Drosophila melanogaster: one gene and its partners. The protein of the gene in region 2 interacts with the protein of the main gene of each other region in a pairwise test. Each region holds a gene or a part of one and is shown on either strand. Other genes may lie near its edges.

Region 1 (4,116 bases), on a different chromosome or scaffold from region 2:
GCAGCCTGCTCGTCCGCCGAGGGTCGTGTGCCGTAAACGGGCCAACGCTGCGGCTACGTATTAAAACGAGGGAGCCGCAAACAATAATTGGCCCTGGTTCGTTCGGGAGGGGAATTTTTGATGGCCTTGTCTTGTCACTGAGGCGAAATTAGTTGCCAGTTGGGATGTTGGGTGGGGCGATCGCCGAAGGCGAGTGAAACTCACTTTTTCCCATTTCCCTTCTGCCGGCTTTTCCTTGCTTTGATGCGATTCCATGCAGTTGGGTGCAAATCGCTGGCCAGCGATGATTTCATTTCCCCGCTGGCAGATGGTCTATGCGTGGTCGCATTCTTCTCTGATTAAATTTGAAGTTATGCACTCGCATCTCGTGTTCGCTCCGCTGATTCTTTGCAAAAAAGAATTGTGAATGGAAATTCTAAAAAGGGCATTCCCTATCTATGTCAGTAAGCCATTCTTTTCAATTTCAATTTTCCGCATTGTTTTCGGGTTTTTTCTGGTCATTCTGGTCGCTTTTTTTAAAGCTTCCCTCTCGCTACATGAAATATAAATCCGAAAAATGTGCCTGTCGTTCAAATACCGCCCATACCATAATGTATTTTTTTTTTCGCCATAATGCTATAAACTTAATTAGTGCTGAGCCGAATGAGCAATCAGATCATCCCGGCCATTCCCGTCGGTTTAATTAACACGCCAAAAGGCCGTAGACGTAAGGTGAGCCTTTCGGTTCATCGCGTTTTTTATGCCGCATTCTTAACGCGGCCGCGCCGAAAAAAAATGGAAAATATGCCGGGAAAAGGCAAGGCCCCGCCAGTTGGCAATACAATTTGCTGTGACAAATGCGGCCATAAACAAAAATGGCGACAACGATGCCGCTGCCGCAGCCGCCAATCCGCCATTCAGACATTTTCTAGTGCAGCGCCAGCGACAAAATGGCTGCCACAAGAGTCTGGATGAAAATTTCATTTCCCAAGCTGCGATGGCGATGGCGATGGCGATGGCAATGGCGGCGACCTTTCACGGTATTTATCACACGCGAAACGAAACCCGTCTACAATGCCACCCGCTCGTTTTCGTTTTTGGTAATGAAATTTCGCTTTAGCAATTACGGGCAACCCCTTCGGGCCATATACACATACATAAATACATATATAGCTGCGATAACTGGGGAATCCAGCCAGCTAATAGCTTTTGAGGCTAGCTGGCTCGCTGGCTGGAAGACTGGCTGACTCGATGGATGCATAAATTATGATGGGAACACGAGTGTCCTCCACCTCCCCATCACCCCTATTGCAGAAATCAATTTCAGGCTTCGGCGGCAAAACAAAGCGATGCTGTGGAAAAATGCAAGAAACAGCCGAGCGGAGGAAAACAGAAACAAAATTTATAAAAATATTTTCATGCCTTGCAGCTAAAATGTTATTAAAGTCAATAACATAAAGCCGGGACAATTCCTTTTGCCATGCTTTTACCAGGACGTGGGTGAGGGTGAAACTTTGTCAAATAAAAATAGCTTACAAATAAAAACAACTCGGGGCGGAAAAATAAAAAAAAAATATATAAATAGGAACGAAGAGGAGCGGGACGAACAACTGACCAAGGCAATGTAATAAAAATAAATAATGGCTTTGACAAAAAATAAACGATGGCAGCGAGAAAGTTTGAATATTTATGAGTTTTTTATGTGCCAACAAAGGAGGTGAGCCAAGAAAAATCGAGTTTGTACAGTGAAACTCATAACAAGGAGCAATTTGGCAATTTGAATTCATAGAATTTGACAGCATTTCATTTATCGAGCAACACGGTCATACTAATAGTATATGGCAATCGAAAATAGTTGGCTCTGAACTTTTAATCGTATCAAGTTTTAGTCATAAAATCATTTGCTGCAAGGTGTTGTCAGAATCGGAGTGCGTATCGTTAAAAAAAAAAATATATAAATTTTAACAAGCTCAAATTTGAGTGTGCGAATCAAGCGTGAAAAACAACCGAAATGGATCCTATTCTAAAGACCCTTACCGAGACCATGACCGTGGAGGCCATCGCAATCATCAAGGCCAAGCGCTTGGCGATGAAGCAGAGCGTCGATAAGAACGCCATGCAGATGAGGGCCCAGGAGCGGGAGAAGGGTCGTAATTTGGATAACATGCAAAAGGAACTGGGCAGGCGGGCCATGAAGCGGGAGCGACCGTGCCGCGTTTTCGAGGAGCAGCTGCTGGGCGAGAAGGAGATGACGACTGCTCAGGAATACCTCAAACTGGCTCACCATTCCATGATGCGTAGCTTGGACTCTACGGTGCCGGAATTATCACAGCTGGAAATGCCGCCCCCGCCGGAGATCATGACAGAGCCGCCTTGGCCAAAGACCAAGTACAATCGCTATGGCCAGGAGAAATTCCTCAAGGCACAGCAAGAGTTCGGCATAAATCCGCAGGGCAGCAACTTGGAGAATTGCGCGACTTTTCACGAAAGTCAAAAGGACAAGCGCAACCGATCTGTGAGTAGGGAAAGCATTGAAAGGTCGAGAAGCAACAGCAAGGATCGTCGCTCATCGAAGCTTTACGCACGAATGCCCATCATTGTGGTTCCGGATGCAATGACCAGCATGATCAGCCTGAACAATATCAAGACACTGCTCGAGGAGTTGCACTACGAGCCAGAGCGTAACGGCCGGCAGTCTAACCCTCCTGAGTGTCGGCCCAAGGAGGTCATAGTCGAGCATCGATTTCAGGTGGGTTAAAAAACTATAGTAGCTTGAAGTTTGTAAATTTACAGAGTTACTAAGTACGCTTCTCTTCGCTCTTCTACTTATTCCACTGATGCGGTGGAGAATAAGGAATTTTTCATTCTAAGTGCTTCGCTAATAGTTATGGCTAGCTGTATATGCCTTGGTATTGGTTGTTAGAATTTCTAATAAGTGCATGCCTGATCGATAGATTAATTACCTTTATGAAATGCAAATTTCAGAACGAGCTTGTTAGCTACCGGGTCATCGACAACGTGACCAACCTAACACCCGTCGAATGGGATCGGGTGGTCGCCGTGTTCGCCATGGGACCCAAGTGGCAATTCAAGGGCTGGCCGGATGGCGCTGACCCCGCCGCCATCTTCCACAAGGTCTGCGCCTTCCATCTGCACTTTAGGAATACGCCGATGTGCCCGGAGCTGACCAAGCTGCAGGTGCACTCACTGGCTCTCTCGCCCACCGAGCGCCATTCGGACAGCGGCATCATTATGGAGTTCTGGAACAGAGTGGACCGACACATGGCCGTCCATGCCCGTCAGTTTGCGTTTATCTGGCAAAAGTAGGGTTCTTGTGATTACATTCCCCCTGGCGCACATACATACATAGATGCCAGATAAGCAGGGAAATCAATAAGTGAAATTGAATAAGCCAGAACAAAGGACGAAGGACAAAGAGTGACAACACACACGCACACACACACACACACACACACACACACACACACACACACACACACACACACACACACACACACACACACACATGGGGCGTTGCTGCGTTAATAAAAATTGAGCGAAACGGGCGCATCAGAGAAATATATCACGTTTGTATAAAAATCATATAAAAACGTTGCGAAAACTGCAAACTTGGCAAGAAAATTAAGAGCACAAACAAGTTGGAAAATGGGGAAAATTCGGATGGTAGAGGCGGTCGGGAGCGGGGAAACTTGGCACGCGTGAGACAAAAGCTAAATGACACACAAAGGAGCAGTTGTGTGCGTGTGTAGCGCTGTACTTATGTAAGTCACTGTGCGTCCCACAAAACGTAAAGCTGTCAACGGCATTCAGCAGAGAGTGATGGTGAAAACAGAAAAATGGGGTGGCGATAAGAGCATGGGGCTCTATAAAAATCGCTGGGAAAATGACAATTTTTATGCACCACACCCACACATATACACACAGGGTAGAAAACACATGTGTGTGTCTAATGAAATAAACTAAGTGCCAAGGCATTTGCATGTGGGTGGTGGGGTTTTCGAGATGAAGCAATTGGCAGGCATTGCAGGCAAATGCACTAAGCGTTTTAACAGTAAAACAATAAATTTAGTTTCACGAAAGTCGATGAACTTGTGCTGTCTCATTCGCTACATATTT
Region 2 (3,885 bases):
ATAATCTCGTACTGATCGAGCCCCTGAAGTTCAAAGTTCTCGACTCCAAAGGTGCCACTGAATTCTCCCGAGTTGATTTCGAACGACCTCTGCGCCGCCTTCATGGGTGCCATAACGGGGATTCCAAATCTCGGGCTACCATTTTGCAGGACGACCCTGAATGCCTCCAATCCGTCCACAATTACGCTGGAGAAAGAGCGTCCTTGGGCTGAAAATTAACTATGATTATTAAATTTTCCCTAAAATTTTCTTCATATTCTCACCTGACAAAGGTTCGGCAACTTCGGCACCTTGACAGCTGGCCAGGGCCACGATAAGCGCAATCAGGAATGCAGACTTCATTCTTAGCACAGAACACTAGTTAACCCTTTTGGCAATCAAAATCCACTAGTCGAAGCTTGCCAAATCCATTCCTCTTATATAGGAAAATGACCATTGAGATAATCTATCGGTACACAGCACAAAAATATCAGTGTCTAGATTAAAAAATTTTAATATTAGGAAAACTTCTATGTACAGTGAATAAACAGTGAATGCTTTCTTGGCTTATATTTACAAAAACATGGTTGAAATATGGAACAATTTGTTATTTATTCTTAAATAATTAGTGTTTATAAAGGTTTAAAGAAATATTAGGGGCATTCCTCTCATATCAAAATTATTGTTTATTGACACAAAATGGTGAGGTATTGAGTACAGTGCTCTAAGATATTCCCTTTGATATAAAAATCATATTCTGAAAATCGCTATATCTTATTATATTATTTTGTATGAATCTACATTTTTTTTCTGTGCATGTGAAGTAGCTTTATTAATCGGCAAATAATTTGGCAAAGTGTTTTATGACAGATAGGACACAACTTGAGATTAGACCGTCTTTGAAATATAATGAAAGCTGATGGATGTTGTAAATATTAAGCTTTTTAAAACATCGTTTAAATTTCCCAATGCAATGAACAAAAAAAAACCCACCGAAAGCCAGTCCCGCAAGAAAAGAGCCAGGTGACGAATTCTTGATTCATAAACGGTTGTTTAATGACCGATGATTTGTTTACCACTCGAACTCGGGGGGAATGCAGGCCTCCTTCTCTCCACCCTCACCATCACCACCGGCACCGGAGATGATCTCGGCGATGCTGATGTCGTCCAGAACGCTGTTGACGGCGGGCAGGGCAATACTCTCGATGGTATCGGCAATCAGATCTTCGTTCTCATTGATGGCCAGCTCCACGGCCTCGGCCAAGTACTCATTCATCTTCTCGTTGATGCTGCCATCGCCCAGGATGCCCTCGATCTCGGAATCAACCTCACCCAAGTGGGTGCGGACCTCCAATGACTTCAGCTTCAGGTTGCCGCTGATCACGCCGAGTGAGTACTTCATAGTGCCCCAGATAACCATATCCTTGATGGCGAATTTGGCATGTCCGGCACCGATCAGATTGATGGTAAATCCGTACTTCTTTAGCAGCACACTCAAATCGTATTGGGTATCCACGTTCACGTCGCGGAAAGTGAACTTGTAGGTCACCTTGCTGGTGATGGCGTTGACCTTCATCTCATCGATATCAAAATCATTCAGACCGTTCAGGCGGAAGTGATCAATGGTTCCCTGAGCCTTCAGCACGCTGCTATCGATGTTGATATCCTGATGGTCAATTCTAAGAGGAGCCAATGGCGGCAGGCCGACACTGGTAAAGCCACAGGGCATCTGCTCCTTAATGCCCTCGATCACATCCACAATCGTGCTGGAGATCGACTGGGTTTCTAGAGAATCAAATGGATAGGTATGCTAAATATTTGGGCATTGGAAATCATCTGGAATACTCACCAATGGGCTGGCCCATGGAAGCCGCACTGGCAACGGCCACAAAAGCCAAAATAGCCACGAAGATTTTCATTATTGCTTTGACTGAGAGTCCTACCGACTGATCGTAGTACCTACGGTATTTATACTACTCAGTCGTCCGGTCGCACGAGTCGCTTTTTATAGACGATCAACATTTCAGGTGGGGTTGTGATAAGGTGGCTTCGTACTCGTGAACGATTTGATTAGCCACCGGGCGTTCAATCGATGGCCTATTGCTGTCTTATCTCGGCCAACGATTCCCCGGTTGGCAAATTTTTTAATTTTAATGATTAGTTATATATACATACATGGGGGTACTTATCCTAAGGAAATGATCAGATTTAAAAAGACAGTTTTCACTAAAGTACAAACATTGCCTTCTTGTGGAGGAGTGTCAAGATCAAAGTCTATTTGGGGTGTGTCCCCGCTTTGTTATGGTTAGAAGGCTTCAAAAAAGTGTGTTTTTCTAAAACGTTTTCTAAAAAAGAAGGTGTAGGATTAGTGGTTGACTTGGAAACAAGATTTTAAAATCATTAGTTTCGCGATTACAGAGTACTCATACATTAAATGTATGGTCTTACGAAAACTTTCCATCAATCGATATTTTAAGGTCATGCAGGTGTTGAAGCCAATAGGAAACATTTTAACAAAGTAATTATCAAAATTGAAAACGACTACCAAAAATTTAGCATGATTATAATCTTCTAAAGAAGTCTGTTTGGAATTAAAATTCTCCATGCACTTCTGCGGATCTAAAGTCTGCGAAAAGTTTGTTTATTGATTAACAATCAAGTGATTTTTAAGTGCATTGAGTGATTTATGAATGATATCTCGACTGGGGTATTTAAAGGTCTTACGAATGGATCTATTAATAAAAAAATCCAGACGATTAACACCTGATGGCTAGTCAAATACTCTCTTAACGAATTATTGGCTTTAAAGTTAACGCCAGTCCTAGCCCAATATGTTTATCAATAAGTAGTTTACCCATTGTGTTAGTTCCCCTTGTAAAATCGTAATCAGAATAGCAATAAATCACTTTTTAGTACGCCTTTAAGGTTCTAAAGAGTACAAAAAAGCCACTGAAGCTCTGAAGACAAAAGAATTTACCCCCACTGAGTGATACGAATCGGTCATCCAGTGTAATCCGCCGACACCTGCATGGAGTGGTTGACGCAGTTTTACCCCCGGTAGACCAGTTATTTGTGTATAATCCAGATCGCAATGATAGGCAATATATATTCTTTAAGTGATATTGACAATCGATTGGCCAATTGGACGTCGAGATTAGGCCAAAACAAGCCACTCAGGCGAAACAAGTGCTCCCTTTTTTTACAAACCACTTGCCGAATGATTTGATTCCTTCGTTTTTAAATCGGAAGCCTATCGTGAATTGGGCGTTATGTTCATGGCAGCTCCGCTAATCAAAAGTAGCGATTAGCATTTGTATTTGTTAACCTGGTTAAGTGATCCCTTCCCTTCCCCTCGGCTTGCCCTTCGAATCCGCTAGCTTTGCTATAAAAGCCACTGACCGGCTGGGACAATCAATCAGGTGGCTGGCTATACAATGAAAGCTATCGTTTGTGTTTTTGTGACCCTTTTGGCCTGCGTAGCGGCCTACGATGTGGAGCTGCTCACCGAGGAGCAATGGGACCAGCTGGTGGCGCGTAATCGTAAGTGTCTTAAGCCATCCATCACCTGACCAAACAGAGGACTAATTGCAATGTGATTCCCCGCAAACAGCCGCCAAGCCCGATACTCAGGGTCTGATCTTGAACGGATCGGTGAAGAAGGCCATCAATGGACTGCTGAACCAAATGCCTTGTGGTTGGCCCCAATATGGAATTCCACCACTGGATCCCTACACCAATGCTGATCTCCGCATCCACTTGGCCGAGTCGGTTGTCGAGTGAGTTATAATTAATTGGAGTGATTGTATCAGTGGATCTAATAGTCATCCTTAGTACCCTGCTGCAGTTCCTGCGCTTCCGTTTCGATGGCCTGGAAGGCATGGAGATCAAGAAGATGAAGGTCAGCTA
Region 3 (5,040 bases), on a different chromosome or scaffold from region 2:
CCTGGAGAGCAGCGCGTTCTTTCGGGCACAGAATTTCACAGTTGGCATCTTCGAACTTCATCTTTGACTAACTTGGCTGGAGCCCCACCCTGGCGAATAATTGGCACTCGCCTCGAATTTAAATGATTCTGGCATTCCTTGAATGCACTGACAGAAACTCTGGCATCTCATGGGCTTGAAAGTACGAGAACCTCCCATTGAAGAATCTATTGATTTCTCAAATCAGCATATCGTTTTCTCTGCGTGTATCTTCCCAAAAGGAGCGGTTTAACCACCCCGCAGCTCATGACTAAAATTTAAACAGCTCCATAATAGTCGGCCGTAATAATTAATTGTTTGCTAATAAATATGAGTTTATATATGTATATAGGAAGAGCTCAAATAATAAAAAATAATAAGCGCACGCGCCGCGTCTCCAATGACTAAGTCTCCTTTCAGTCTTCGAGTACGCGATAAATGCGAATGTACATATATACGTATGTATCTAGATACGTAGTTCGAGTGTACGAGGTACACATACGAGTGCCGAGTATAAGTATAAATTGTAAATCAGATACGGCATAAATATTGAACACATGGCGCAGTAGTTTATACACCCAAGAGTTGTGGGTGTTCGATGGCTGCAGGGGGGGTGGGGGTGGGGTAGTTGAGGGGCACGGAAGGAACTGAACAAAATTGAAATAAAATAAAGCACCATAAAACGTACTTAAGATTGACGATTGTGTTTTTTGGGGGAGCGATCAATGAAAGAGTTTCGATGAAGACAATATATGGCAAGTACAGTTGAGCTCTTTTTTGGATTTGGGCATTCGTGTTGTCTGCAAAGGGTTATTGATAATTCTATGCTCTTCCCAATTTAGTTAATATTCTTTTATTACTAAATTATGAGGGAATTTTTGTGTCTGATTTCGAGACGGGGGAACAATCGAAGGAGCCAGAAAGCGACCGAAGAACGCGTTGAGTAAATGCACATTCTGGAATATTTATATAGTACATTTGAATATATATGTACTTGATTAGATATAATTGGCTGTCAGTATGTCTCTTGATCGCTCCACTCAATCGCACCAATACTCGGATTCGGATACCGAGCAACCGCACAGATACATTTTCGAAACAAACAAAATGTCGGCAGCTGCTTGTTGTGTTAGCTTATAAATTAAAACGCGTTTCATGGCATTATTATTTGATGGTTTTTTACTTTTTTTTTTTTCGTCTTATGGCTGCTCAATTCATTCGATTGTTCGTATATTCACATTCTTTTTAGCCCATTCGTACCCATATACCCCCGATATCGCTCACACCTCCTTCCCCCCCTTCTCCGCTCGGTTCATCTGTCCGCCTGTCTGCTAATTGAAAATCAATTAATGTGACTGCATCCTATAGCTGCTCATGTCAAAGTCAGATATCATCCAGGGTAGGGTAAATTCGATGGAATAAGGGAATGAAAACAAGAGAAGGAATTCAAGACTCAACGACTCAGATTCAGAATCCGAATCAGAATCCTTTTGTTTTCACTGACCTTACTGTCTGAAAACAAAAACCCAATTGATGTGCCCCAAGTAACACTCTGATAATTACCGAAAAACTCCAAATTTTTCGATTGCTTTCGACTTTGGCAGTATTCATCGCCAAGTTCATTGGGTTTTCGAGTGCGTCCCGCGAATCGCTTTCGTTTGGTGCGGAATTTGGCACAAGTTTTGTATGCTCAACTACTGGGAAGGCCAATCTGGGGCTTCTAATTCCACTGTGCGGGTAATTTGGGGACTCTTGCCAGTTACTAGTTACCTCCCAATACGAATCACTGATTTCTCACCTCCTGCCACTCGCTTCTTGCTTCCGTTGCAGGTCAACAAACAGTATTCGGCCACCGATCTGGAGGCTTTTATGAAGATTGCCGCCAACTGGCAAAATTCCAATCACAACTTGCTGGAGGGCGTCGACATAAAGACGGGTAAGTTAAACAAAACGAAGTGACCGTTGAAGGAACTTAATTCAATCATCGAATGCTTGCAGAAATGACACAGTACATGAACAGTCCTTCCATGAACATGTACAAGAAGAGGGAACGCACCCAGAACTGGAACCACCAGGAGAAGAAATACCTACTCGATCTGTGTCGCAAGGACATGCGCATTATCGAGAACAAGAGATTGGATGCCGGTCTGACCGCCGTGAAGAACAAGGCATGGAAGATTATCCACCAGAAGTTCTCCAATCAGTTTGGCACCGATCGCACCTGCAATCGCCTGAAGGAACAGTGGCGTCGCATGAAGGGTAAGTCTTTATAAAATACATATATTTAATGGCAAAGCTAACCTTTTCGATCTCATCCTTTAGCATGTACTCGCAACGAGATCCTGGACTACAATAATCGCCTGGCCAGGTTTGGAGCAGAGGTGGCCGATCGCAAGAAGCCATCTCCGTTCACCTTCGAGGTGTGGGATTTCATGCAGGAGGCGAAGAAGGCATGCAAATCGGAGGCCCTGGATGGCATTGATTACTCTAAGATTCCACTGGCCTTGGAGGAGGGTTTTGAGTATCGTGAGGATTACAAATTCAATCCCGAAGACCACGACATGGATGAGTAAGTTGATCGCTATGTGGTAGTCTGAATAGATCTTTATTGAGCATTCTCTATTTGAGCAGCAGCCGCACACCGCCGCAGGAACTGTGCGATGTGGACATCAAGGAGGAGGAGAACAACGAGACCTTCAACGAGACCTTCAACCATCACCACCTCAACCAGAGCGACATCCTTGGCAGCGGCGAGCGTCTCAGTGTGTCGCCTAATCACAGCATCAGTCGCAACGGGATCCACGAGGCCGAGAGTCCCGCCACGATTTCCACATCTAATGTCCTGGACTCGAGCGGTGCCTATATGGCCGGAGGAGGTGACATGTCCGGCTTCCAGGCCAACTTCAACATGAACAACATATCCGCCACGCTGGAGGCACTGAATGCCCTCCGTTCTGGCCAATTTCCCAGTGCAGCAGCAGCGGCAGCGGCCGCCATTCACCAGCACCAGGCACAGGCCCAGGTCGCCATGCATCACCAGCACAATAACAACAACAACAATAACAACAACAACGAGGACGACGAGGACAGCATGAAGCCGCAGTCTAAGAGACAGCGCACCAGCAGTGGTAGCATGTTGGGCAGCGAGGATCAGGCACCAGTCCTGGCCCCATCAGTGCCAGCATCCTCGGACTCGCAGGCCCTAGAGCGGTCCGGCAGCAGCAATGGATTGACCATGCCGGGAACGGCAGTCAGCACCAATGCCAACAGCAGCAGCAGCAACAACAACAACTTTGAGCTGCGCATGTTCATGGAGATGCAGAGCAAGGAGCACATGATGCGCATGAAGATCCTGGAGGTGCAGTTGCAGGCGGCAAAGCACAGTCGCGACCTAGTGGAGATCAACAAGACACTGGCGCTGCAGAAGCTGCAGTTGGAGCTGGCCAGCAAGCGACTGCCCAGTTAGGAGGCAGTGCAGCAGCAAAAGGAGCAGCAGCAGCAACAGCAGCAGCAGCCCATCGCCGTTTCATGTTACATTAGTTTATAGAAATAAAGCCTGTCAACTCGGTCACGTTCGCAGGCAGAGAGCGTGATTGGGAATCGACTAGAGTTAGCACTAGAGTTAGTCTTAAGTTGAAAGCAGGATCCACAGCTACACATCCAGACCCGACACACAGAGAGACATTCCTGGCATTGTTGATCAGTATTTGAAAGCTAGAAGCGAAACCCGACACACAGAACCGAACCCAAGAACCCCAGCGAGGATCAGGAGGCGCTCGGAAGTATGCCATAATCTTATGATGATGATGACGATGATGATGATGAATCGCCTACCTCACAAGCACACACACACACACACACACAATATGCACACACTCAGCTAGCAGACACACACACACAGACACACTCTCTTCTGGCCTAACCAGCACTTGACCAAGTCAAGTCAAGTTTAGTTAGTTTCTAGTTTTAGTTCGTATGGGAACCACTCTCTCCAAGTTGCTCAACTACCACAAATGTATTGTACTTACGTTCTTGACCTCTGCTACCCCACAACTAACGATTTGAACGAACATGAAATGCACACAAGATTATTTTTCATAGTCCTAAGAGAAGAACCTTATATATGTCAATGCATCATACACAATCGGCAGTTGTCTCTGATTTTGATTCTTACTTGAACTTGTATTTATTTGTATCTTTGTATAGACTATGTTGATATATATATGACCCTATATATGTTTGTTTCAATGCCATATTACATGAAAGTTCTTTTTAATTCATATTTTCCGTTTGCGCTGCAAAACAAATTGTTACCATATATAATATATGATATGTATGTACCCTACGTATAAGCAGGCTTGAAGAAGGCCGCCAACTCGGCTTCAGTTGTCGTAGAAGACTTCTTTGTAAAGCGTGTAAATGAGAGATACAAATTATTTTAAATAAAATACAAAACAAAACAAGCAAATGTTTCAGCTACACTTTATTAATTTTGTTCATGGTTCATCTGTGAGCCTTCGGTCTTGGTTTTTTCCAACGATTGTATCTGCTTATCCACCTTGATGATCTTTGTTGTGACTTCGTTCTTCTGGCTGAGAATCTTTTCTCGCAACGACTTCAGCTGTTCCCGTTGCTGGGTAAATTTGCAATTAAATTTAAATAGATTACTTTCGTTTTTTGAGATCACAAACCAACCAGTTTAAGGAAATGTATGTTCTCCTCCGCCCTGGCTTTTTCGAACAAATGCTTGGATATGTTCCTGGATACAGAGATGCATCTAATAAGCGAAGCCATAAGTGCTCAGAACACGGAACTCACTTGTTGGATTGTGAAAACTGACACATCCTGGGTCGCAACAGTTGGAAAAGCTTTTCGACCAACTTCAGCATTGTATCCTTACGGAGGAAGATAATTTGGAATTTACTATAGTAACTGATGAGGTATTTCAAGGTGGAATATTGACAAACTTAAAAGTGATAGCCTACCGTTTGATAGGTCATTTTTCGAGACTCTTTTTGAATT

The links. The genes of interacting proteins can lie anywhere in the genome.
Region 1: the proteins of CG8997 (region 2) and CG6220 interact in a two-hybrid assay, tested with the Drosophila melanogaster proteins (one large-scale study listed by BioGRID).
Region 3: the proteins of CG8997 (region 2) and apt interact in a two-hybrid assay, tested with the Drosophila melanogaster proteins (one large-scale study listed by BioGRID).

Annotation. Positions count from the first base shown.
Region 1 is NT_033778.4:13,691,150-13,695,265, reverse strand, and holds CG6220 (uncharacterized protein), read left to right. Parts: upstream 1-1,896; 5' UTR 1,897-1,990; coding exon 1,991-2,728; intron 2,729-2,964; coding exon 2,965-3,306; 3' UTR 3,307-3,559; downstream 3,560-4,116.
Region 2 is NT_033779.5:13,843,365-13,847,249, forward strand, and holds CG8997 (uncharacterized protein), read right to left. Parts: upstream 1,962-3,885; 5' UTR 1,899-1,961; coding exon 1,829-1,898; intron 1,765-1,828; coding exon 1,052-1,764; 3' UTR 551-1,051; downstream 1-550. Other genes in the region: CG33306 (uncharacterized protein), read right to left, coding at 1-208, 264-342; CG7916 (uncharacterized protein), read left to right, coding at 3,414-3,519, 3,590-3,755, 3,811-3,885.
Region 3 is NT_033778.4:23,595,044-23,600,083, forward strand, and holds apt (apontic), read left to right. Parts: upstream 1-1,548; 5' UTR 1,549-1,704; coding exon 1,705-1,755; intron 1,756-1,848; coding exon 1,849-1,954; intron 1,955-2,016; coding exon 2,017-2,277; intron 2,278-2,340; coding exon 2,341-2,587; intron 2,588-2,649; coding exon 2,650-3,484; 3' UTR 3,485-4,483; downstream 4,484-5,040. Other genes in the region: CG42560 (uncharacterized protein), read right to left, coding at 4,505-4,651, 4,714-4,777, 4,837-4,907; CG42559 (uncharacterized protein), read right to left, coding at 5,015-5,040.